Anolis sagrei: one gene and its partners. The protein of the gene in region 3 binds, or shares a complex with, the protein of the main gene of each other region. Links are inferred from orthologs where the notes say so. Each region holds a gene or a part of one and is shown on either strand. Other genes may lie near its edges.

Region 1 (7,558 bases), on a different chromosome or scaffold from region 3:
TCAGGAGAAAATGCTTCTAGAACATGGCCATACAGCTTGGAAATCACGCACCTCAGTGATTCCGGCTGTGAAAGCCCTCAACAATACAAGTATTTACTGGTAATAAAAAGCATTTGCAAGGCTTGCTAAACAGGCTGATTTTTCTTTTTGTGGAGTACACCTGAAACATTTTTTGCTGAGTCCACTGCAACGCTGCAATTTATTACTAACAAAGGCCTTTTCCAAACAGCTGTACAATATCCACACTGATATATTATATGGCAGTGTGGACTCAGCTAATCCAGTTGAAAGCAGATACTGTGGATTATCTGCCTTGATATTCTGTTTAAACTGGTTTATCTGAGTCCACACTCAGATAATGTGGGATTTTCTACCTTGATATTCTGGGATACAGGCCTGTGTGGAAGGGCCCTCAGATAACCCAGTTCAAAGCATTCTGGGTTATATGGCTGTGCAGAAAGGCCGAACATTGCTTCAGTGCTTCAGCATTCAGAAACTCTTTACCGTTGTCAATTTTTTTGTGATCCGAACGTTGAGCTAAGGGGACGCTATTTGGGATCGGGACCCACAGTTTCAGAAGCATGAAGGTGTTTAAGATCAATTAAGGGTGCGCTGTGATTTTTAACTTTGAATGTGTTTTGACGGTTTTTAACTAGGATTTTTAAAAATTCTGGTTATATTTAATCCTGTTTTAATGTTTGCATATTTGTATATTTTTAAATTGTTATGCTGATGCTTTTGTGTTAAGCTGCTCTGAGTCCCCTTCATAAAGCAGGGTATAATAATAATAATAATAATAATAATAATAATCAGTGTTCACATAGCCCCACCACCAAGGCCTGAACAAGTATCATTTCCTTCACCATGTATTTCTAAATCAACCATTAATTAAATGTCATCTCCAAAATTCCTGACCAACCAAATTCTGTTGTTTTCCATTTTCGCTCTCTAAGACATATTTAATAAAGACCAACCAGTATGCCTCAAAATCTGATCTGTTAATTTCCCCCCTGAATACCCTCATTTCCATTGTTAGTTTATCATTTAAAGCTACATTCCAAACTTCCCTATACCTTGCTTCCAGTGTTAGATTAGTTATTATTTTCCAATTCTTTGCTATTATAATTCTTCCCACTCTGAGCAAAATAGTCACCAATTCTTTCTTACTTGTTTCTACATTCAGCTACGTGGTGTCCATTACTAATGCTAACCTAGCATCCGGCATAATATTTGATCCTATAATGTTGTTTATTTCGGTAAATATATCCTTCCAAAAATTCTTCACTTGGGGGCATTCCCACCATAAATGAAAAATTATTATTATTATTATTATTAAACTTTATTTGTACCCCGCTAGCATCTCCCGAAGGACTCGATGCGGCTTACAAAGGCCAAAGCCTCAACACAACAACAGCAAACAATAACAATACAATACAAAGCAAAAATTAAAACATAAGCAATGACAAAAACATTACACTATTACACATTAAAATCAGGCCGGGCCAATGATGGGTACAGGTTAAAAAGTGCTGGATGTGACGGTGGTATGTTGGAATTCTGAGTAAGTGCAATGTGCAGAGAATCTTAACTCTAATAAAGTGTTTCTGGGACATGGTGCTGGGGGTTATCCTATTCTGGGAAGGCACATCAGAATAGCCAGGTCTTCAAGTTCTTCCTAAAGACTGCCAACATGGGTGCTAGTCTAATGTCTTTGGGGAGGGTGTTCCAGAGTCGGGGGGTAACCACAGAGAAGGCCCTGTCCCTTGTCCCCACCAAACGCGCCTGTGACGCAGGTGGGATCGCGAGCAGGGCCTCTCCGGATGAATGAAGGGAGCGCATGGGTTCATAAATGGAGATGCGGTCACGCAGGTAGGCAGGTCCCAAACCGTTCAGGGCTTTGTAGGTAAGCACCTGCACCTTGAATTGGGTTCGGTAGGTAAACGGCAGCCAATGGAGCTCCTTAAACAGGAGGGTTGACCTCTCCCTGTAAGGAGCGCCAGTTAACATCCTGACCACCGCCTGTTGGACCAGTTGGAATTTCCGAGCCGTTTTCAAGTGCAGCCCCATGAGCGCATTACAGTAATCCAATCTAGAGGTGACCAAGGCATGGACCACCCCGGCCAAATCAAGCTTTGCGAGGTACGGTCGCAGCTGGTGCACAAGTCTTAGTTGTGCAAAAGCCCTCCTGGACTCCGCTGACGCCTGAGCCTCAAACGTAAGTGATGAATCCAAGAGGACTCCCAAGCTGCGGACCTTTGACTTCAGGGGGAGTGTAACCCCGTCCAGCACAGGTTGCCATCCTATACCCCAATCTGGTTTACGATTGACCAGGAAGACCTCTGTCTTGTCGGGATTGATCTTCAGCTTGTTCCTCCTCATCCAGACAGCCACAGCGATCAGGCACTCGTCCAGCACTTGAGGGGCCTCCTTGGAATTAGGTGGAAATGAGTAGTAGAGTTGTGTGTCATCTGCATAGAGATGGCACCTAACTCCAAAACTCCGGATGAGCATGTGGTGGATGCTCCTTCTTTGTAAGCTTTTAAACAGAGGCTGGATGGCCACCTGTCAGGGGTGCTTTGAATGCAATATTCCTGCTTCTTGGCAGGGGGTTGGACTGGATGGCCCATGAGGTCTCTTCCAACTCTTTGATTCTATGATCTGTCAGGGGTGCTTTGAATGCAATATTCCTGCTTCTTGGCAGGGAGTTGGACTGGATGATTCTATGATCTGCTTTGAACTGGGATATATGGCAGTGTGGACTCAGATGGCCCAGTTCAAACCAGGGGTTTTCTGCCTTGATTTTCTGGGTTAGATGGCTGTGTGGAAGAGCCCTGGGCCTGCCCCTTTTCTCTGTGGATGCCTCAAGTGTCCTGCCAAATGCTCCCTCCCAACTTGCATGGTACTGAGGTGTGTGGGGGAGGCGAGGAGATTGCACTGCTCTTGGTGGGCCGGAAGCCTTGTTCCCTCCCCCCTCCCCCTCTCCCTCAAGGGCCAAACCAGCAGAAGGATATTGCCTGAGGCAGGAGTCCACCTCGCCCTCGTCGGGGCCCACCTGCCCGTCGCCGCCGTCCTCCTCGTCCACGAACTTGTTCTCGTCGTACTCGTCCACGTCCACTCGGCGGAAGCGCGCGGAGGAGACGGTGTGCTTCGCCATGGCTGCGCCCCACCTCACTCACTCCCTCACTCCCTCAGGCAAGGAAGGAAAGCAGGAAGAAGAAGAAGGCGGCGCTCCTCCCTCCCTCCCTCCCAAGCGGAGGCGGTGGCCTCGCGTCAAGAAAGAGGCGCCGCGCATGCGCTGGAGAAGCGCTCGCGCTTGGGGGGGGGGGAGCGAGCGAGCGCGCGGACTCTCCCGCCGCGCGGCACTTGCCTTTGCGAAATACATAGGAGACTGAGACTCGGCCCAGATGCATATCTCCACCTTGCTTTTTTAACAAGTCTTGTTACCAACGATATAACCGCTTGCTTTGTTATTACTCTACTGCGCAGGCGCCAAACTATCATTTCCTCCCCCCCCCAGAGGTCTCGCTCATGCGCAGAATTGCGGACCGACGTGGTGAAAGAGCAAGGTGTGAGCAGCACGTGACCTCTGACGCGCCCAGCGTCTTCGGTGAGGGCGGAAGTGCTCGGCCACGCCCCTCTTTGGGTTTAGCCGTAACAGGGGAAAAGTATCTCCCTGTGTCGCCGTAAAGCGGAACAGACAATAAAGGAACATAGAAATGCTGGACCACACCAACAACCACCATGTCAGACTACATAGAGAAGCCATTGAAATCCACAAGCATGTGGACAATTTCAACAGAAAGGAAGAGACCATGAAAATGAACAAAATCTGGCTACCAATATTAAAAAACTCAAAAATTACAAGAGCAAAACAACAGAGAGGAAACAACCAGGCACATCTTAACACCTCTCAACAGGGGATTTTCCCAGGCTCAGCCAGGCCTTCAAATGCTAATGAAGGTGATCAGTTGAAACATTCACACCTAGCTGCAGCAGGGAAGAGCTCTTTGCCCCACCCCAGCCATTCCACAGATATATAAACCCATTGTCCTAATTCCAACAGACCTCACTACCTCTGAGGATGCTTGCCATAGATGCAGGCGAAACGTCAGGAGAAATGCCTCTAGAACATGGCCATATAGCCCGAAAAAACCCACAAGAACCTAATAGAGGAAGACATTTTGACCCCTCTCACAACAACATCCTCTTCGGGTTGTTGTAGGTTTTTTCGGGCTATGTGGCCATGGTCTAAATGCATTCTCTCCTGACGTTTCGCCTGCATCTATGGCAAGCATCCTCAGAGGTAGTGAGGTCTGTTGGAAGTAGGAAAATGGGTTTATATATCTGTGGAATGACCAGGGCGAGACAAAGGACTCTTGTCTGCTGGAGCTAGGTGTGAATGTTTCAAATCAAATCATTTATTTCGGTCATTGACCAGCACAGAAAATAGTCACATTTTCATAAAAGCTTGGTATGTTTGGTACATTAAAAATATAAATATAACGATTCAAGCACAATATGGGTGAGGGAGCAGAAGGGAAGGGGAAAGCAGAAGGGAAGGGGAAATTGTGAATATTTCAACTGACCACCTTGATTAGCATTTGATGGCCTGGCAGTGCCTGGGGCAATCTTTTGTTGAGAGGTGATTAGATGTCCTTGTTTGTTTCTTCTCTGTTGCTGTGCTGTTGTGATTTTAGAGTTTTTAATACTGGTAGCCAGATTTTGTTCATTTTGTTCAAAACCCACACACACAGATAGATATCTACATAAAAACTCCAACCATCACCCAAGTCAAAAAAGAAGCACCATTAAAGCCTTGGCAGACCGTGCAAAAAGAATCTGCGAACCCCACCTCCTCCAAGATGAACTGAACCACCTCAACTGGGCTCTACAGGCCAATGGATACTCCACCTCAGACACCAGAAGAGCTGCAAGACCAAGACCAAGCCATGAGAATAAAGACGAAGATCTACCCAGAGGAAAAGTGTTCTTGCCATACATCAAGGGAACCACTGACCGCATAGGGAAGCTGATGAGGAAACACAACATACAAACTATCTTCAGACCCACCAAGAAAATCCAACAAATGCTACGTTCAGCAAAGGACAAGAGGGATCCTCTCACTTCTGCAGGAGTCTACTGTGTACCATGCAGCTGTGGACAAGTCTACATAGGGACCACCAAACGCAGCATTGCCCAAACACAAATCAAGGAACATGAAAGGCACTGCAGACCACGTTAACCGGAGAAGTCAGCCATAGCAGAGCACCTGAGGAACCAGCCTGGGCACAGCAGCCCTGCATCTGGTACTTTCCAAGTGCACTTCTCTAGGACCCGGTCTATAGAGTAAGTTGCGTTGGGCTGGTTGTTGCGACCTCCGATGATGGGAGGAGAAGCGCTCCCTAAGGTATGATGGACCCTGGCCGTAAAGGTCAGAACTAACATCTTATACAGGCCACGGTACTCATTTGGAAGCTGAGGCGAGGGAGAGAGACTATTTCCTCTTTTAAAAACTTCTTTGCTGCCTTATACTGATTCAGTTTCTTCTTTTATATTGGTAGGGGCTTTCTGTGTGCTGTCAAACCTTTGTATTGTATATCGCAGGCAATGAAACACTCTTGTGTAAAACCAAGTAACACAGTTTATTTATAACTTCTGGCTCCAACGCTTGTGGTTACATTTGTGTTTTGTTGCAATCTTGAGGCTTACAGTCAATATCATTTACTTGGTTAACTTTTCTGAATAAACTCTCAATGTTTCATATTCACAAACATGTTACTTGCTTTACACACTCTTGGCTGAATTATATTCTGAACTAAGGCAACACTAGCCTTCTCTATATTCCTTTAAACTCGAGCTCTATTTACTAACTGCTTCTCTGTATCAGAAGTCTTTAACACATCTTCATAACTGTTTATTTCTATCAGGCACTCAAAAACCAACTCTTCACACACAGATTCCAAACTGTCATTTTCAAACTCCCTCACTCTAACTGCCTCTTTTAGAACCTTGGATCCGCCCCTTTGGAATGTTCAGCTCTGCTCTCCCCAACTGTCATTTTGGCCTAGCAGCCTTTTCAAATCCTGGGCCTACACTAATCTGCATATGACCAATTGGCTTCACATATGCAAATGAATCCTATCTCTGCTGTTGCTACCCTGTCTGTGCCTATTCTTCCCTTTCTGCCATATGTAAACATAGAGCTATGCACCAAAACTTTAACACAGAGTAGCAATTTCACTACAGAAGCCAATGTAAATGTTGCAGCACTGGTGTTATATGGCATTTCATGAGTTTTCTTGTGAGTAACCTGGCTGCCGTATTCTGAACAATACGGAGCTTTCGGGTCGTAGACATCGGAAGGCCAACATACAGGGCGTTGCAATAGTCCAAATCAGATATGTGCAGTGTTTGAGGACTCCTGGTTTATATAGACAAAGTCATAGGAAACTCCAAATTCTGGGCCACAATTAGAGCATCCTGCAACTTTGGTGGTCTTGCCACATGTTGCCTTGGATTACCTCTTTGTGGTATTTGGTCAACACAGCCGATCTGAGTCCCTTTGTGGTAAGTCTGCTCAGTTTGCTGCGGCTTTATTGTATTTATGTCCCACAAGGTTGTCAGATAATCACAGGGCAGTTGAAAGAAAAAAATGATATAGAGTAATAATATAAACCAATTATACAGGAAAAAAATGAAAAAGTTTTAACATTCGAATTGAAAAATGGAGGACTGACCCTTACTTGGCTGCTGGCGGTCAGCCGTTCTTGGCAAGTGGAACTGTCCAGTGGCTAAAGCAGAGATGACAAAGAGGGCTGGTTTTTGGTTCTTCCTTTTGCTGCTGGCAGCTGAAGCTTTCTATCCTGGCACAATATCCAGTTCAAGTGAAAATAATGTGTGCGTTTTGCTGATTCCATGCTAATGAGCTCCAGTTTTCCCAGCTCATTGTATATCTCCTATGTAACTATTTGTACCAAGGGAATTGCCCAGCCCTGTAATAGCTTTCTAGCTGAACTGAATTTAATCCTTTTTCTTCCTGTGGCCTTCATGCTCCGCCGGCTTGCTTGCCTCAGTGTTGTTTAGTAATTTTCTCCATGTGAACAGCTCTTCCCTTGGGAATTACTTGCAAATGTTTCACTTTGCTTAATGAGTCATTTGGCATTTTTAAGTGCCTCACAATATTTCTAGGTTTGGGGTGTAGGGGTTGCTGTTTCCAGGGGGAAGAAACATTCATGGGAGGGGTCAAATTGAGAGGTTGCCTTCTTAGCGGAGGCAATCTGCTATTCATCAGTTGCACTGGATGCTGTGAGTATAAAGCAGACATATAGTTCTTTTGCAGATTTGGCATAGCACTTGCATTTCCATAAATTGGCTGAGGCAAGGCCTTCATGAAAGGAGACCGCATTCCTGTTATGTTGTTAAGGTGTTGTGCATTCTGTCTATCAGTCAATGCTCTTATGGGCAAAATTGGACGGTAATAACCTGCCTGTGGGACATTAGTCACAAAATTATGGAGGACAGAGTGCCAAAGTCCACCGCAGAGGGGGTTCAGTGTCAC
Region 2 (7,342 bases), on a different chromosome or scaffold from region 3:
GGGGATCACAACCAGACACAGTGAAGACATCTGCCCTTGTGCTTTAGTATTCTGCTGCTGAGTACACATGTTCTCACCATGCTAAAACAGTGGATGTGGCTCTTAATGAGACATACTGCATTATCACAGGATGTCTGCACCCTACACCACTGGAGAAATTACATTGTTTAGCCAGTACCGCACCACCTGACATCCGCCAGGAAGTAGCAGCCAATAATGAAAGGACAAAGGCAATGACATCTCTGGCCCATCCCCTGTTTGGATATCAGCCAACATGCAAACACCTTAAATCAAGAAATAGTTTTCGAAGATCTACAGAGATACTCGCAGGAACACCTCAGCAAGCAAGAGTCCAAAAGTGGCAGGCTAAAATCCATGGCTGATACCAAAGGAGAGACTCCCTTCTGGGCACACAGAAGACTGGGCGACTTGGAAGGCGCTGAACAGACTGTGCTCCTGAACCACGAGAGGCAGAGCCAACCTTAAGAAATGGGGCCACAAAATGGAGTCCACGACATGTGAGTGTGGAGAAGAGAAAACCACAGACCACCTATTACAATGCAGTCTGAGCCCTGCCACATGCACAATGGAGGACCTTCTCATAGCAACACCAAGGGCACTCCAAGTGGCCAGGTACTGGTCAAAGGACATTCATATACTGCCAAGATTCTAAATTGTGTGTGTGTGTGTGTTTATAAATACATTACAATGGTACCCTTGGTTTGCTCCTGATATGATAAATAAAATTATAATATTTACATGTCGTAGATTTTAAATTGCATAGTTTTGTCAAGTTGTGACCCGCCTGGCGTCTCAGTCAAGAGATAAAAGCAGGAAATAATAATAACAATAATAATAATAATAATAATAATACCACCAGGAAACAACAAGGGATATGTTCATTTCTTACGACTGATTTGTATGATTAATTCTATTCTAATATGTATGCATTGTAGATTTTAAATTGCATTGATTTTTCATGCTGTGAGCTGCCTGGCATCTCGGTCAAGAGATAAAAGCAGGAAATAATAGCAATAATAATAATATTTATAATTGTTATTATTTGAAGAAGCACCACAGAGCTATTACTTAGCTCTATTGGACTGCCATGGCTCAATGAGATTGGATCCTGGGAGTTATAGTTTGAAAACTGGGGTAGCTTTCCCTGCCAAAGAGGGCTGCTGTCTCATCAAATTAGAAACCCCAGAATTCCATAGCTTTGAGCCATGGCAGTTCAAGTAGCACCAAACTAGATTATTTCCACAGTGTAGATGCACCCAAAGCCAGTGCCTGAAATGCAAGATGTTGGTAGACTGTGACTCCCATCTTCTCAAGTCAAGAGACAATATTTTACCAGGTCAAGAAAGACAATCTTCTCAAGCCAGGCATATATCCAGCCACTTCAACTCCTCTGTGCCTCTATTTCGGCTATTACCAGCCGATCAAGTGGATTCAGGCCATTCATCTTAAGGAGCAAATGCAAGAGCAAAGCAAAGTCATCTCTATTATTTTTTCTTTTTTTTTTTTTGAAAAAAAATACTCCAATTAATTCTGCCATTTGTGGCAAGACTTCAAAACAATTTAGAGTAATGATGACTCTAATAAATAAGAAGAAAAGACTCTAGGTACATAAGTACAATAAAGCGATACTCGAAAAAGGATGTACAAAGGAAATGGGGAAAGGAGAGCCAGATAAGCCTCGGACTGGAGTCAGAAACACAGAAAGACAAGACAAGCTGATGCCACAACCAAGAAGGCGCTGCATTACCATCACAATGGAAGGCACTTCAAAACCAATTTTCCAAGAAGACTCAATATAAGAGAATTACAAGGGGTGCTGGGGTATCGAGTCAGATTTTTTGTTCAAAGCCAATTTTGCCATAGCCTTTTAGTAATAACACCTAACACAGAAAAATCTCGAGTTCGACACTTCTTGGAGTGCCATGGCTGAGTGTGACGGGATCCTGGGAGTTGTAGTTTTCCAAGGCCTGCCAAAGAGGGTGGCTGACTCTCCAAACTACGCCTCCCAGGCTCAAGTGGTCTCAAACCACATCCATCCCACAGTGGAGATCCATCAAGTGCTGCGGGATTCGGGTTCGAATCCTCCCATTGTTTGGTTTCCCCCCCAAAATCAGCCTTGCCTGACAGCCAGTGTCGCCTGACTTCCCTCTTGAAACCATATAAGGAAGTTTCCCCCGCGGCTGACATTTGAAGTCCCAGCCTTTTGGGACAGACCCGAAACAACAGCCTTTGGGGACAGGTGGCCTTGGGGACAGCAGCTCCCATCATCCCCAGCTGTTTTCAAGATCCGAAATCCCCAAGCTGGTCACTGGGTACATTACTAAAAGAAACCTTTTTACCCATCTCTCAATATAATATAATATAAATTATATTATAACAATATATTATAATAATATAATATAACAATAATATAATATAATAGGGGAGGGGAAAGGCTTTATGGATGGATTTGGAGGCATAAAATGTTGGGATCTGTATTTGTCAGTGTTCAAATAAGCGGATGCAAACCAGTTTGGGGAAAATTGTAGAGACACCAAAAAAAAAAAGGAAAGCAACAAATCCACTATCTATTTCTCTCTATATACACATACATACATACACACAAATACAAATAGAGAGGTCTGTAGTTTCGACCTATAATGTATGTTGTCTAGCTTGACATGCAATGGTTGTGAAGCATGTCTGAGTGTATGTATAAACAGGGACTGCTATTGTATATTTATTTGTGCCCTTTTTGTGTTCAGAAAAGTAATTTAAAATATTGGGGGGGGGGGGCAGAAAGTCCCAAGCTGGGGGGAAATAGACCTGGGAAAGAGAAGTCTGTTGGGTGCTACAGAAGTCCTACCAACCCAAAAAATCATCCTCACCCTCACCCCAACCTTGCTTCCAGCAGGGCAGCCATTGGGCAGGCTCCCATCTCGCTCCCGTCTGGGCCCCTTTGGGTCTGAAGCTAGTGGCTCTCTTGGGCCAGTTGGGAGTCCCAGCATCCACCTCCACCTCCACCCCCAAGCGATGGGACTTGAGATCCCCAAGGATCCATCCCCCCCTGCCCCTTACCGGCATTTTGGGAAGCACTTGATGGGAGCCGGAGAGGACAGGCTCTTCCTTCTCAGCCCGCCAGGCAGCCAAACGCGCCCTCCTCCCTTCCTGCCTGCCAGCCTTCCTTCCTCTTCCACCCAAAGCAGGAAGGGCGGGGCCCGGCAGGAGCGGAGGCAGTGGCTTCGTTGGTCAGGAGGGGGCGCCCGAGAGCAAGGCCCACGAAGAGGCCCGCTGGCTTTCAGCGCCGCGTGGAGTTCCCTGGCTCCCTGGGACTTGTAGTTCCCCAAGGTCTCGAGTCTCCTCTGCCCAAAGGGAGCTTCTCCAATAGCAAATGTACAGTTTGACCACTTCAATAGCCCTGGCTCAGTTCCCTGGGAGTTGTAGTCCCCCAAGGTCTCGAGCCTCCTCTGCCCAAAGGGAGCTTCTCCAATAGCAAATGTACAGTTTGACCACTTCAGCCCTGGTTCATTGCTCTGAGTTGTAGTTTCCCAAGGTCTTGAGCCTCCTCTGCCCAAAAGGAGCTTCTACAAGAGCAAATTTACAGTTTGACCACTTCAACTGCCCTGGCTCTGTGCTTTGGAAGCTGTAGTTCCCCAAGGTCTTGAGACTCCTCTGCCCAAACCACTTCAGCCCAGGCTCTGTGCTCTGGGAGTTGTAGTTCCCCAAGGTCTCAAGCCTCCTCTGCCCACATCACTTCAATGGCCCAGCCTCTGTGCTCTGAGAGTTGTAGTTCCCCAAGGCCTCGAGCCTCCTCTGCCCAAAGGGAGCTTCTGCAATAGCAAATGTACAGTTTGACCACTTCAACAGCACTGGCTCAGTGCTCTGGGAGTTGTAGTTCCCCAAGGTCTCGAGCCTCCTCTACCCAAAGGGAGCTTCTGCAATAGCAAATTTACAGTTTGACCCTTGCCTTCCCACTGAATTGGTACCTATTGATCTACTCACTCTTGCATGTTTTCAAACTGCTAGGTTGGCAGAATCTAGACCTAACAGTGGAAGCTCACCCCGCTCCCTGGATTCAAACCGCCAACCATTTGTTCAGCAAGTTCAGCAGCTCAGTGGATTAACCCTCTGCGTAATCAGGAGCCCCACAGCACTCCATGCTGTCATGCTGGCTGCATAACCCTTGAGGTGTGTACGGACAACACCAGCTCTTTGGCTTAAAAATGGAGATGAGACCACTCCCAGATTTGGACACGACTAGACTTAATGTCAGGATAAACCTTTACCTTTAACAGTTTGACTATTTCAACAGCCTCTAGGAGTTGTAGTTTCCTAAGGTCCCGAGCCTCCTCTGCCCAAAGGGACCTTCTACAGTGGTGAATTAACACAGTTTAACAACTTCAACTGTCTTGGCTCAGTGCTCTGCAAACCTGGGAGTTATAGTTTCCAAAGTATTGTCGAGGACACCCCCCCCCTCCCCCTTGAGCAAAATATTGATATAGTTGGCACCGCAGCGAGGAGTTCCACAGGTGACGGGAGCTCTTTTAGTTTCAAAAATCAATTTTTGCGAATGATCAGCGGTCTGGAGGAGGTTAGCAGCAGCTACCAGTGCCCAGGAGACTTATCTGCAGCCTTCTCCCCCACCCCCCACCCCCCATATGATTAGTTATCTTGTCGTTTACCCTTCAGTAAAAGGGTTATCCTTAGCTTTTGCTTCCTTGTCTTTTCTTTCGCTCTACTGAGTCTTTTCTTTCCACTCCCGCATTTCACAGCCGGCCCAGCAGCCGCTTGGGCCACATGGCCCACTTGGCCCCCATGGCCTCCCCAGCCCTGGAATCAATGCTCTCCTCGTCTCGAAGCTCCCTTTGGGCAGAGGAGGCTTGAGACCTTGGGAAACTACAACTACCAGGTTTGCAGAGCACTGAGGCAAGACATTTTAGCCGGTCAAACTGTGTTAATTCAGTATTGTAAGAGCTTCCTTTGGCAGAGGAGGCTCAAGACCTTGGGAAACGACAACACCCAGAGCACTGAGCCAGGGCTGTTGAAGTGGTCAAATTGTGTTAATTCGCTATTGTAGAAGCTCCCTCTGGGCAGAGGAGGCTTGTGAACTTTTGAAATAGAGCAATTTAAATGGCCGCAGATAATGTGATCCAGGCCATGGATAGGGAAACCTGAAGCACTGATACCAAAGTGGCCACAGAATTAATCAATCAGTCTAGTATAGAGTTTGTGTATTGTTTCTTGTTTCAATACAAATCTTCTATCTATACATATGATAAAATTGATGTGTATGTGGCAGGGGTGTCCCCTTACACACACAGCCTCCCAATTTAACCCACAGTGCTGAGGAGCCACTCAAAGCACTCCTTCCAAGGACATTTCAGGTTATGGTGGGTGCCATGAACATGTCTCCCAACCCCTGCCAATGTTCTCCACAAACACCATACTGCCTACCACCCAAGTTAAGGCTTCAATTTGGGGACAATTTCATCCTAGATGTTGTTTTTTTCCTCCAGAATGGACATCCCAGGGTTCCTTACTTTTTCCATTGCTGTGGAATTTGCATGACCATGCCCACTTTCTCTCCCTTATCCCTTTCCTATGGCACACAGCAAACAGCAACTGAACAAGAGGTTTTGGGGGAAATTGACCTTGATTTATAGCAGCCGTAGTTCACCTGCATCCAGAGCATTGTGAACCCAACCAACAATGGATCTGGACCCACTTGGCATGGATGATGGGATTTGTAGTTCCTTTACTAAGTTCCTGAGATCACTGCGGCCCGACTAATGATGGATCTGGACCAAACTTGCCACACAGACCCCTCCATGACCCACTTTACATCCTGGTGCGGTTTGCAGAAGGATGGACCACGGATGATTGGATTTACAGTACCTTCATCCACTTCCACAGACCACTGCAACCCTCACGAATGACGGGCCTGGACCAAACTTGGGACACAAAACCCCCATGACCAACAGAACATACTGTAAGAGTTTGGGGGAGGACTAACCTACCCGTGTGGGAGTTGTATTTCACCCTGCACCCAGAGAGCATTCTGAAGCCCCCAATGGCAGATCTGGAACACATGTGCTGCACAAAACCCTGAGGACCAACGAAACATAATGGAGGGGCTGGGGGTGTGTGCATATAGAGCACTCTGAACCCCATCCATAATGGATCTGGACCACAAACTTGGCACATAGACCCAATATGTCCAACTGTGAATACAGGCAGAGTTTGGGAGTGATTGCCCTGGGAATCTGGGAGTTGTAATTCACCTGCATCCAGAGAAACAGTGACCCCACCAACAATGGACCGGGACCAAACTTACCACAGAGAAACCCCATGACCAAGTGAACATACTACAGGAGTTTGTGGGAATTAACCTTGATTTTGAGATTTGTAGTTCACCTGCATCCAGAGAGCACTGAACCCAGCCAACATTGGATCTGGACCATACAGGCCTGTTTTGGGGAGGACTGACCAACAGTTTTGGGTATTGTAGTTTACCCACATCCTTATGCATTTTCTAATGGGGGCATTAATAAAAAAACAAATAAAAACTGGCTTTTTTCTAATAAATAGTGTTACTAATTAACTAAATGATACTACCTAACACCCCAAAAACAAACAATGCCTTGTTGCTTGTTGGCAACACATTCACCCTCCTTACCTTAGACTGAATCAGAGCAAAGGACAGCAATGCTGAACAAGTTAACACACTCAAGTGACAATGGCAACGCAGCCTTTTCTGTATTTGCTTCCGCCACCTGAGCTAACAAAAGCACACCAAGAAACAGATAGGAAGACCAGATACTCTCATGTTTATTATTGCCAAGGAAGCAATCAAACAATGAAATAACACAATAATTTATCTCTCAGTATGTACAGTAAACTCTCCAAGGGGGGAAAAAGTCTATGGGGCAGATCCCTCTGGGGATCTCTTTGCCTTGGCTGCATTTGATGTTTGATGCATTTGATCTTGATACCTTTCCTCAAAATGGATCCCAATCTTGTCACTCATCCACTCGCTCTTGGAAGAACTCATCAAAAGTGGAAGGTTTATTCTCCTCATTTTCCTGTGGAGGGAAAAGGATAGGAAGGATTACAGCAAACTGCATTCTTCAAGAAGGCAAAATTATTCAAAGTGTAGGGTGCATCTCTCCACTGTAGAATTAAAGCAGTTTCGGCACGACTTTCAGTGTTATGGCTCAAGGCTGTGGAATCCTGGGAGTCGTAGTATGATGAGGTCCCAGCACTCTCGTAGAAAATGCAAAGCTGCAATTCCCATGATTCCACAGTATTGAGCCATGACAGTTAAAGCAGCATAAAACTGTAT
Region 3 (8,446 bases):
TCTTTCCAGTTAAACATTCAAAATTGTTTAAGTAAATCACAATGCCTAAGTATTCGAATCATAATAAAGTGCCTACAGACTATATTGTGTGGAGGAGAAGCTGCAAGAAATGTGTATGTAGAAACAAAATTAGCACATTCATGTTCATTCTTTCTATCAGGATTTTGTAATGTGCTTTCGCGTGAAACTATCTCAGGGTTTCCTTGACAAGATTTGTTGAGTAGGTTTGTGATTGCCTTCATCTGAGGCTGAATTAGACTTGCGCATGATTACTCAATGGGTTTCCATGGGTGCATCTACACTCTAGAAATAATGCAGTTTAAGTGCCACAACTCAATGCTATGGAATTATACGAATTGTAATTTGACAAGGTCTTTAACCTTCTGGATCAAAAAGTGCAGGTGTCTCACCAAACTACAACTCCCATGATTCTACAGGATTGAGCCATGGCAGTTAAAGTGGTCTCAAACTGTGTTAATTCTACAGATTAAATGCACTCTTTGTCTGAGTGGGGATTTGAACCCTGGGTCTCCCAAAGTCCTAGACCAGGGGTGTCAAACTCATTCTTATCAGCCTTATGGTTCAAAGGGTCATTGAATCTATGAATGGAGAATTCGTGGATTTTTTACACAGTGGTCAATGCTCTTTAGTTTTTATCTAGTTAGGTGAGGAAATGTAAAATGATCCCACTTAGAAATAAACTTGTCCAGATGGTTCTTTAGTTTGCATGAACAGTAAAAATTACAGATGTATCAGGGCATTTAGGAAATAGATATCACTTTGTATTTTCTGACAGCAGTTTGGCCTCTAAGTGTACTTTTCATTTATTTGCATCAATTTTGTGACAAAAAGACTTAGTATTTATTTTTCTAGTATTGATTCTAACCCTAGGTGGGAAAACATACCAACTGTTTAACTTTGGTTACTTAGAACATGAGATATTACTTTGCCTCCAGTGTATCTTCAATATAAATACTTAACATATGAGATTTTTGTTGTTGTTGCCCTCCCTTTTCTATCTCCCTTAGAAGTCTCCAGATGCAGAATTTTGCTTTTCCACCTTATAAGTGACAAAATGGGAACCTCATCCTCTCATAAAGGATTGTTCCACCATACTATAGACACAATTTCTTATCAGAAGAGCATGTATCATGGGTTAAAGAGGATCAAGGTGAAAGAGTGACATGTAAAGGATGAACCAAAAGTTACAAAGGGGGTTCAATATTTAATGACTTCTTTATTTTTGTTTTTAATTTACAACACCATATTGTATATGATGTATAGCATCATATACAGTATATATAAGAAATACATTTACATGAGGTGTGAAAAATCAAGTCTCATAAATGGTGTCCAATATCATAGCAATATATACAGTGTATCTATGACCCTTTCGTGGCTTGTAGCCCACCCTGTTCTATTAAACACCAACAAAACACAGCCAGATTGCCATAGGACCTTCTTAACCTTTTCATATTTTTGTACTATTCTTTGCCACTTGCGGAGGTTTATTAAGGAAATGAATGTTGCCTCTTATAAAAGAAGCAATATCCATGCTTTGTCCATTTATTTATATAGCCCAACAGCAACACACATGGTACTCCAATACCTGGCCTTTGCCCAGAGGAGCTGACACTCTGAACTTTGATGCAGGAAAGATAGTAAAAAGAAGGGAATAGCTGCATGTGCTAAAGCTTAGTCACAGTTATTAGGCTACATAGAAAAACCTGGGTTTTTACGATACAATGTAAACAGCCAAAGTCACACTCAGGCCCCCATCTATACTGACAATTTCATGCAGTTTCAAACAACTATTGAAGAAAGTGGTTTTGGTGTGCAGATGATCACATAGGAAATCCTGGAAAACCTTTGAGGCCAGGATGGTGATTACACAAACCAGAGAGCTCCGAGTAAGGGCTTTCTTTCGCACACCTTTTGTGGGTGTTTGTTGTCTGGCTGCCAGTTTGAAGCGAACTGTGATCTGCATTAAATGGTCATTGTAGATGGGGCCACAGTTTCACTGAAAATACAATCAATGTGGTACATTTTGTTAGGACCGCAAAACTGAGGGTCAAAAAAGCATATTTTTAATGTGTGGTTTTATAGGAATTTGACGCTCTTAATTTTAAAAATGACCTCAGATCTGCTCCATCCCTTACTTTCCCCCCAAAATGCTTTGATGTACTTTGTTGAAAAATGTAAATGAAATTAGTATTCAAATCATCACAGACTGAGCATCCCTTATCTGGAATCTTATCTGGGGTACTTTGTGCTTTTCCTGCATGGCAGAGGGTTGGACTAGATGTTCCACGTGGTCTCTTCAAACTCTACTATTCTATGAATGTGTTAATTCTGAAATTCTTCAAAATCAAAAGTTATCCACATGCGTTGTCGAGATAGTAACCCCTTTGCTTTCTGATGGTTCAATGGACACCTATATTTGTTCCTGCACAAAAGTATTTTAAAAATTGTGTATATAATTACCTTTCGGTTATATGTGTATTGTGTATATATGAAACATAAAATGAAGTTCATGTTTCTACTTGGGTCCCATCTCCAAGACTTCTCATTACATATACAAATACAGGTATTTCAAAAACTGAAAAAACACTTCTGGTCATTTTGCATAAGAGCCAATCAACCTGTATCAGAGTTAGACAGGTCTGAGGGATTTCAGATATGGGGAATAACATGGGATTCCCACCTCAGTTGTAATGGTGCTATTTCCCAGCATCCTCAAACAACCAAACATGAAACAAAACTTCTCAGATTTCAAGTACAGTACTTCAAAACATTTAGCTGTTCATGCCATACTTAAGCCCCATCTACACTGACCCATTAATACAATTTAAAGCTAGCTTCAAACTGCAGAAGTCTGACAACAAACTCCCACAAAAGGCTTGCAAAAGAAAGCCCCTTTAATGCACATCAGTGTTCTGTAGTTTGACTAATCTCCTGTCATCATCTGAGCAGCAAAACCACTTTATTACCAGTTTGCAACTGCATTAAATGGTCAGTGTAGATCAGGCCTTAGGGATGCATTTGGAAGTTCACACTTCAGCTTCTAAATTTGCGGTTAACCATGAAATTAGATTTTTTTAAAAAAGAAATAAATGTTTGTTGTGTTTTTCAAATACAGTACTACAATCCTGATGAAAAAAAATGTGCTTTTGCCCATGACAGGCCTTACTTTATAAACTAACCCCAAGTGCATGGTATTAAAATGCAAAGCAACATTATGTAGCAACAGGAATGAGCCGAGGCCACATCAACACAGGACTTTGATCAGGCATGGGTAAACTTTGGCCCTCCAAGTGTTTTGGACTTAAACTACCACGATTCCTAACAGCCTACCAGCTGTTAGAAATTGTGAGAGTTGAAGTTCAAAACACCTGGAGGACTGGAGTTTGCCCATGCCTGGCTTAGAGAACAAGGAATCAAATGTTATGCTGTAAAATGAATGCAGTTTTGCACCAGTTTAACTAGTGGGAGTATGTATTTATTTATTTATCGTGTCAGAAGTGGATTAAGGGTACAGTTATAATGTACTCAAAAAGACACAGTTAAAAACTTGGCATTATGCCAGATTTCCTTTGACCAGAAGCTGGCCACTTGGATTGCCTCTGATGTGGCTACAAGAAGGTCCTCCATTATGCATATGGGAGGCTCAGGTAGCATTGTAGTAGATCATCTGTGGTTTGCTCTTCTCCACACTCACATGTCGTGGACTCCACCTTGTGTTGGCTCTGCACCTTGTGGTGCCAGTCTGTTCAGTGCCTTCCAAGTCACCCAGTCTTCAGTATGCCCAAGAGGGAGTTTCTTATCTGGAATCAGCCACTGATTGAGATGCTGGGTTTTATGCTGCCACTTTTGGACTCTCGCTTGCTGAGGTGTTCCTGCGAGTATCTCTGTAGTTCTTAGGAAGCTGTTTCTTGGTTTGAGGCATTGGCATGCTGGCTGATATCCCAACAGAGGTGGGATGAAGATGTCACTGCCTTGGTCCTCTCATTATTGGCTGCTTCTTCCCAGAGGATGTCAGGTGATGCAATACCGGCCAAGCAGTGCAATTTCTCCAGCGATGTTGGGTGTAGACATCCTGTGATGATGCGGCATGTCTCATTAAGAACCAGGTCTACTGTTTTAACGTGGTGAGATCTGCTCCATACTAGGGGTTGTTTTTTTTTTTTAATTGCGTCAGGAGCAACTTAAGAAACTGCAAGTCGCTTCTGGTACGAGAGAATTGGCTGTCTGCAAGGACGTTGCCCAGGGGACGCCCGGATGATTTGATGTTTTTATCATCCTTGTGGGAGGCTTCTCTCATGTCCCCGCATGAGGAGCTGGAGCTGATAGAGGGAGCTCATCCGCCTCTCCCCGGATTCGAACCTGGGTCTTCAGTCCTGCCAGCACAGGGGTTTAACCCACAGCGCCACCGGGGGCTCTACTGCCAGGGAAACTGTGGAATCCTAGTTTGGTGAGGAACTAGCACTCTTAAGTAGAGAAGGCCTAGCACCTTGTACAACTACAAATCCTATCATTCCATGGCATTGAGCCATGGCAACTACAGTATTGCCAAACTGGATTAATTCTAGTGTAGATGCGCCCAAAAATAAATAAATAAATAAGCTCGAGGGCAACAGAGAATCGGAAGAGCTTCCGCCCCGCCCCCCTCGAGCGCATGAGCACGTGCCTGGCAAGCCAGTGTCCGCGAACGAGGCACATCTGGCGGCGCGTGCGAAGCCACAGGGAGGCCGCAACCAATGGGAGTCCGAGCTCCAAACCAGCTTCGAACGTTAGCCTTGGCCAACGCGCGCGCGGAAGAACTGGCTAAAGCACGCCTGGGCAAATCTGAGCCTTCCCTTTAGGTGTTTTGGGCTTCAACGGCCACCATTCGTAACAGCCTCAGGCCCTTTCCTTTTCCCCCTCAGCCGCTTAAGTGGAAAAGGGAAAGGCCTGAGGCTCTTAGGAATGGTGGCCGTTGAAGCCCAAAACACCTGCAGGGAGGGCCCAAGTTGACCAGGCCTAGGCTAAAAGGAAGAAGCCTTCCCCGCCTGCTTGGCATGCCTGCCAGCCGCGCATGCGCGCTGCTTTCCTCTTCCTCCCTCCCCCTTCCCTTCACGCCACTGCCTTTCCCACGTCCAGGATGTGACGCAGGGTGCCGGCTCGGCGCGGAGGTGGGTGGGGCCCCCGTGGCGGAAGCGGCTGGACTCGGGCGGGTCCCCGGTGCGGCGCGCTTCTCGGCTAGGTGGTGTCTTCTCCCCCCCTCCCCTGCCCCCCGCTCCTCCTCCTCTTCCTCCTTCTTCCCCGCCCGGCTTCCGTACCCCTTCCTCACCTCGGAGCAGCCGTCGCCATGATCCTGCTGGAGGTCAATAACCGCATCGTCGAGGAGACGCTGGCGCTCAAGTTCGAGGGCGCGGCCGCTGGGTGAGGAAGGAAGGAAGGCAGGGGCGGCGGGCGGGTGGGAGGAGTGGTGGCGGCGATGGGAGGAAGGGCGGGGTGGGGCAGGCGTTAGGACAGGGCAGCGAGGCCTACTCGCCTCACTACCTTCTTCTTCTTCTCCCCCCCCCCCCCCCCGCTTGCCCTGCGTTGCCCTCCCCACTGTTTATTCATGTATTTGCATGGCTGACGACTCCAACGTAGGGTTCACCCTTCAGCCTTCTTCCTTTTGGGCAAGTGGGTGTGGGCGGCGGGCCTCCACTTCCTCTCTCACCTTCTGGCGCTTGGGCGCTTCCGGAGCCTCCCTGCGAGGCCCCTAAGTGACTCAGGAGGTTCAGGCTGCTGCTGCCTATCCTCCCACCTCCAAGCTGTCAGGACGGATCTGTGCTTCGGGAGCTTTTGACATCACGTAGTCCTCCTTCAGATCGGGGAGGGGTGCCCTTTTTCCCACTTAGGAATGCAGTTTCACACCGCTTGGAAGTGCCAGGGCCCAGTGCTGTGGTATCACAGGAGGTGTGGCTTTACAGTAGTGGTTCTTAACCTGTGAGTCCCCAGATGTTTTGGCCTTCAACTCCAAGAAATCCTAACAGCTGGTAAACTGGTTGGGAATTGTGGGAGTTGTAGGCCAAAACACCTGGGGACTCACAGGTTGATAACCTCTGTTCTACATACTGAACACTCACATACGCAATGTATTGCCAAAGGCTTTGTTTCTTCCATATGCCTCTTTTATGGGGATATGAAGAGATCTGGTCATTTCTGTGCAATGTATTCCTGGTTAGTCAGTGGAACAGATCACATGAAGGCCCCTTTTCATTTTCTTCAGGGTCCCTTCAACATTAGGTCTGTGCTCTCCACCATCATCTTCCCCTTTCTACTCCTCTAAAGCAGTGCTACTCAACAAGTTGTTCCATGGTCCAATCCTGATCTATGAACCATCTGCACCTGGTCCCTTCTGTTCCCACAGGTTGAGAACCACTGCTATACAGGGTCTTTAGCCTTCCCTGCCAAAGAATGCTGGTGTCACACTAAACTATAAATCCTAGGATTCCATGGCATAAAATCATGGCAATTCAAGTGTTTTTTTGTTTTGTTTTATTCTATTTTTTGTTGGGTAAGAAGCGACTTGAGAAATTGCAAGTCACTTCTGGAGTGAGACATGGCCCAGAGCATGCCCAGATGTTTTACCACCCTGTGGGAGGCTTGTCTCAGGTCCCCGCATGGGAAACTCCCGTCTCACAGACCCGAACCGCTGACCTTCAGATCAGCAGTTCAGCCAGCACAAGGGTTTAGCCCATTGCGCCACCACGGCTTATGCTGTATTAATTCTACAAGTAGATGCAGTCTTGAAGGGTTTAATTGCTGGTTGCCTTCGGGTAACTACAATTTGGAATATTTGGGAGAAGAATTAGGATTTCTTTTCCACATTTTTGATTGCTTGCATATATATTTATGAGATATACTGTAAAAGGACCCATTTCCAATCATGAAATTCATTTCCAATACACATAGCCTGAAAATACAATACTGTATTTTATGTAATTTTGCACATGAAACAATGTTTGTGTCCATCAGAAAACAAAGGTATCACAACCTCAGCCACCCATGTGGACACTTTTGGATTTTGGAGGGTTTCAGGTTTTGGTATTTAAGATACGGGATGCACAGCCTGTGTAGGCTTTTTGGATAGAAGATACCAAGCCAATTGCACCGTGTGTTGCCACTTCCCTAAAGTGCTGCTGTTATTCTTCCTCTTGCCACTCACCAGGAAGTGTCGCTTTCACAGATAGCTGAATTGCAGGCCCTGGCTTTTTGATCAGGGTGTGTTCAGTACATATTTCAAGTACAGGTAAAATTATTTGAAAGTGTTTGAGAAGATAAGCATTCTTACTGCTGTCTGAGAAAGAGAACAGTAAACTCATGCACTTGGAGAAAGGACAGGTAGAGAAAGGGGTGGAGCTCCCATTGGGAAAAATTGAACAAGTGCTTATTAGAGTCTGCAGAAAGAACTGCACAATTATGCTGACAATATTTTTCCCATTGTATATGTTTAACTTGCTGTAAAGGTACGAATTATGGAGCCTTCTGGCTGTTGGGCTAAAAGTCCTAGCAGTAATAATCAACATAATCACTCAGAGAGGAATGCTGGTACTTGCAAACCAATATCATGATAGGGCTGATGTTGAACACTGGATGGTGCTTTCCTCAGACAAAAGGGACCTGTTTCTTATCTTTGACAAGTGACTTATATGGGTTGTATTTTTTTCTAGACTTCTACTTTTCTGTTTCATACTTTTCTGTTTCTACATATCTCCTAGCCGTTTCAAGTAAAAGGAGTCTGTTTTATGTATTTTGTATGTATTCATCCTGCTTGAGATCCATCTATTTCAACATTTTTGAACATTCCCCACAAATAGAGGCCTTCAGCAGGTCATTTCGAAACTGGAACCCATTCTATTTTCTGTGCATTCCTCAAATGTTGTTGTATGTCTTCAAGACATTTCAGACTTATGGTGACCCTAAAGCATAGTCAGTTTGCACAACACACTGTATCCTATCATATGATTTTCTTGGGGGGGGGGGATAGTGGAAAGGGGGTTACGTATGAATTTTTAGTCTCTTTTTTGTTAAATTATTAAAATATATATTTGGTAAAAGTCACATATGAGGAAAAGTGGTTATGTTATACTCATTTGCCCCAAATTGAATAAATAAATAATATGGTTTTCTTGAAAAGATTTTCCTTTGCTTTCCTATGAGACTGAGAGGGTGTGACTTGCCTAAGGTCACCCAGTGGGTTTTCATGGCTAAGCAAAGATTCAGACCCTTGTCTCCTATAATCATAATCCAGTGCTTAAAACTGCGATGACACACTAGCTGTCTTAATAAACCTATAAACCGTTTAACTTCAGCTGACTTTGGGCAGTGTTTAATCTGCATTCAATGGATCTCTTTCATTATGCTTATATCTAAAACGAATCTTCAGGGCAGCTGTATCACCCACTTTCATAGT

Evidence for each region. Proteins that work in one complex are often made in the same cells at the same time.
Region 1: ARPC2 (region 3) and ARPC5 share a complex: the UniProt entries of both Homo sapiens proteins name them as parts of the arp2/3 complex. The link is inferred for Anolis sagrei from reciprocal best matches to the Homo sapiens genes ARPC2 and ARPC5.
Region 2: ARPC2 (region 3) and ARPC3 share a complex: the UniProt entries of both Homo sapiens proteins name them as parts of the arp2/3 complex. The link is inferred for Anolis sagrei from reciprocal best matches to the Homo sapiens genes ARPC2 and ARPC3.

What each region holds. Positions count from the first base shown.
Region 1 is NC_090024.1:122,450,089-122,457,646, reverse strand, and holds the start of ARPC5 (actin-related protein 2/3 complex subunit 5), read right to left. Parts: upstream 3,235-7,558; 5' UTR 3,155-3,234; coding exon 3,012-3,154; intron 1-3,011. UniProt on the Homo sapiens protein: Component of the Arp2/3 complex, a multiprotein complex that mediates actin polymerization upon stimulation by nucleation-promoting factor (NPF).
Region 2 is NC_090034.1:42,367,956-42,375,297, reverse strand, and holds the start of ARPC3 (actin-related protein 2/3 complex subunit 3), read right to left. Parts: upstream 3,235-7,342; 5' UTR 3,085-3,234; coding exon 3,079-3,084; intron 1-3,078. Other genes in the region: GPN3 (GPN-loop GTPase 3), read right to left, coding at 7,020-7,082. UniProt on the Homo sapiens protein: Component of the Arp2/3 complex, a multiprotein complex that mediates actin polymerization upon stimulation by nucleation-promoting factor (NPF).
Region 3 is NC_090021.1:228,566,682-228,575,127, forward strand, and holds the start of ARPC2 (actin-related protein 2/3 complex subunit 2), read left to right. Parts: upstream 1-5,158; 5' UTR 5,159-5,347; coding exon 5,348-5,421; intron 5,422-5,707; exon of another isoform or gene 5,708-5,883; intron 5,884-8,446. UniProt on the Homo sapiens protein: Actin-binding component of the Arp2/3 complex, a multiprotein complex that mediates actin polymerization upon stimulation by nucleation-promoting factor (NPF).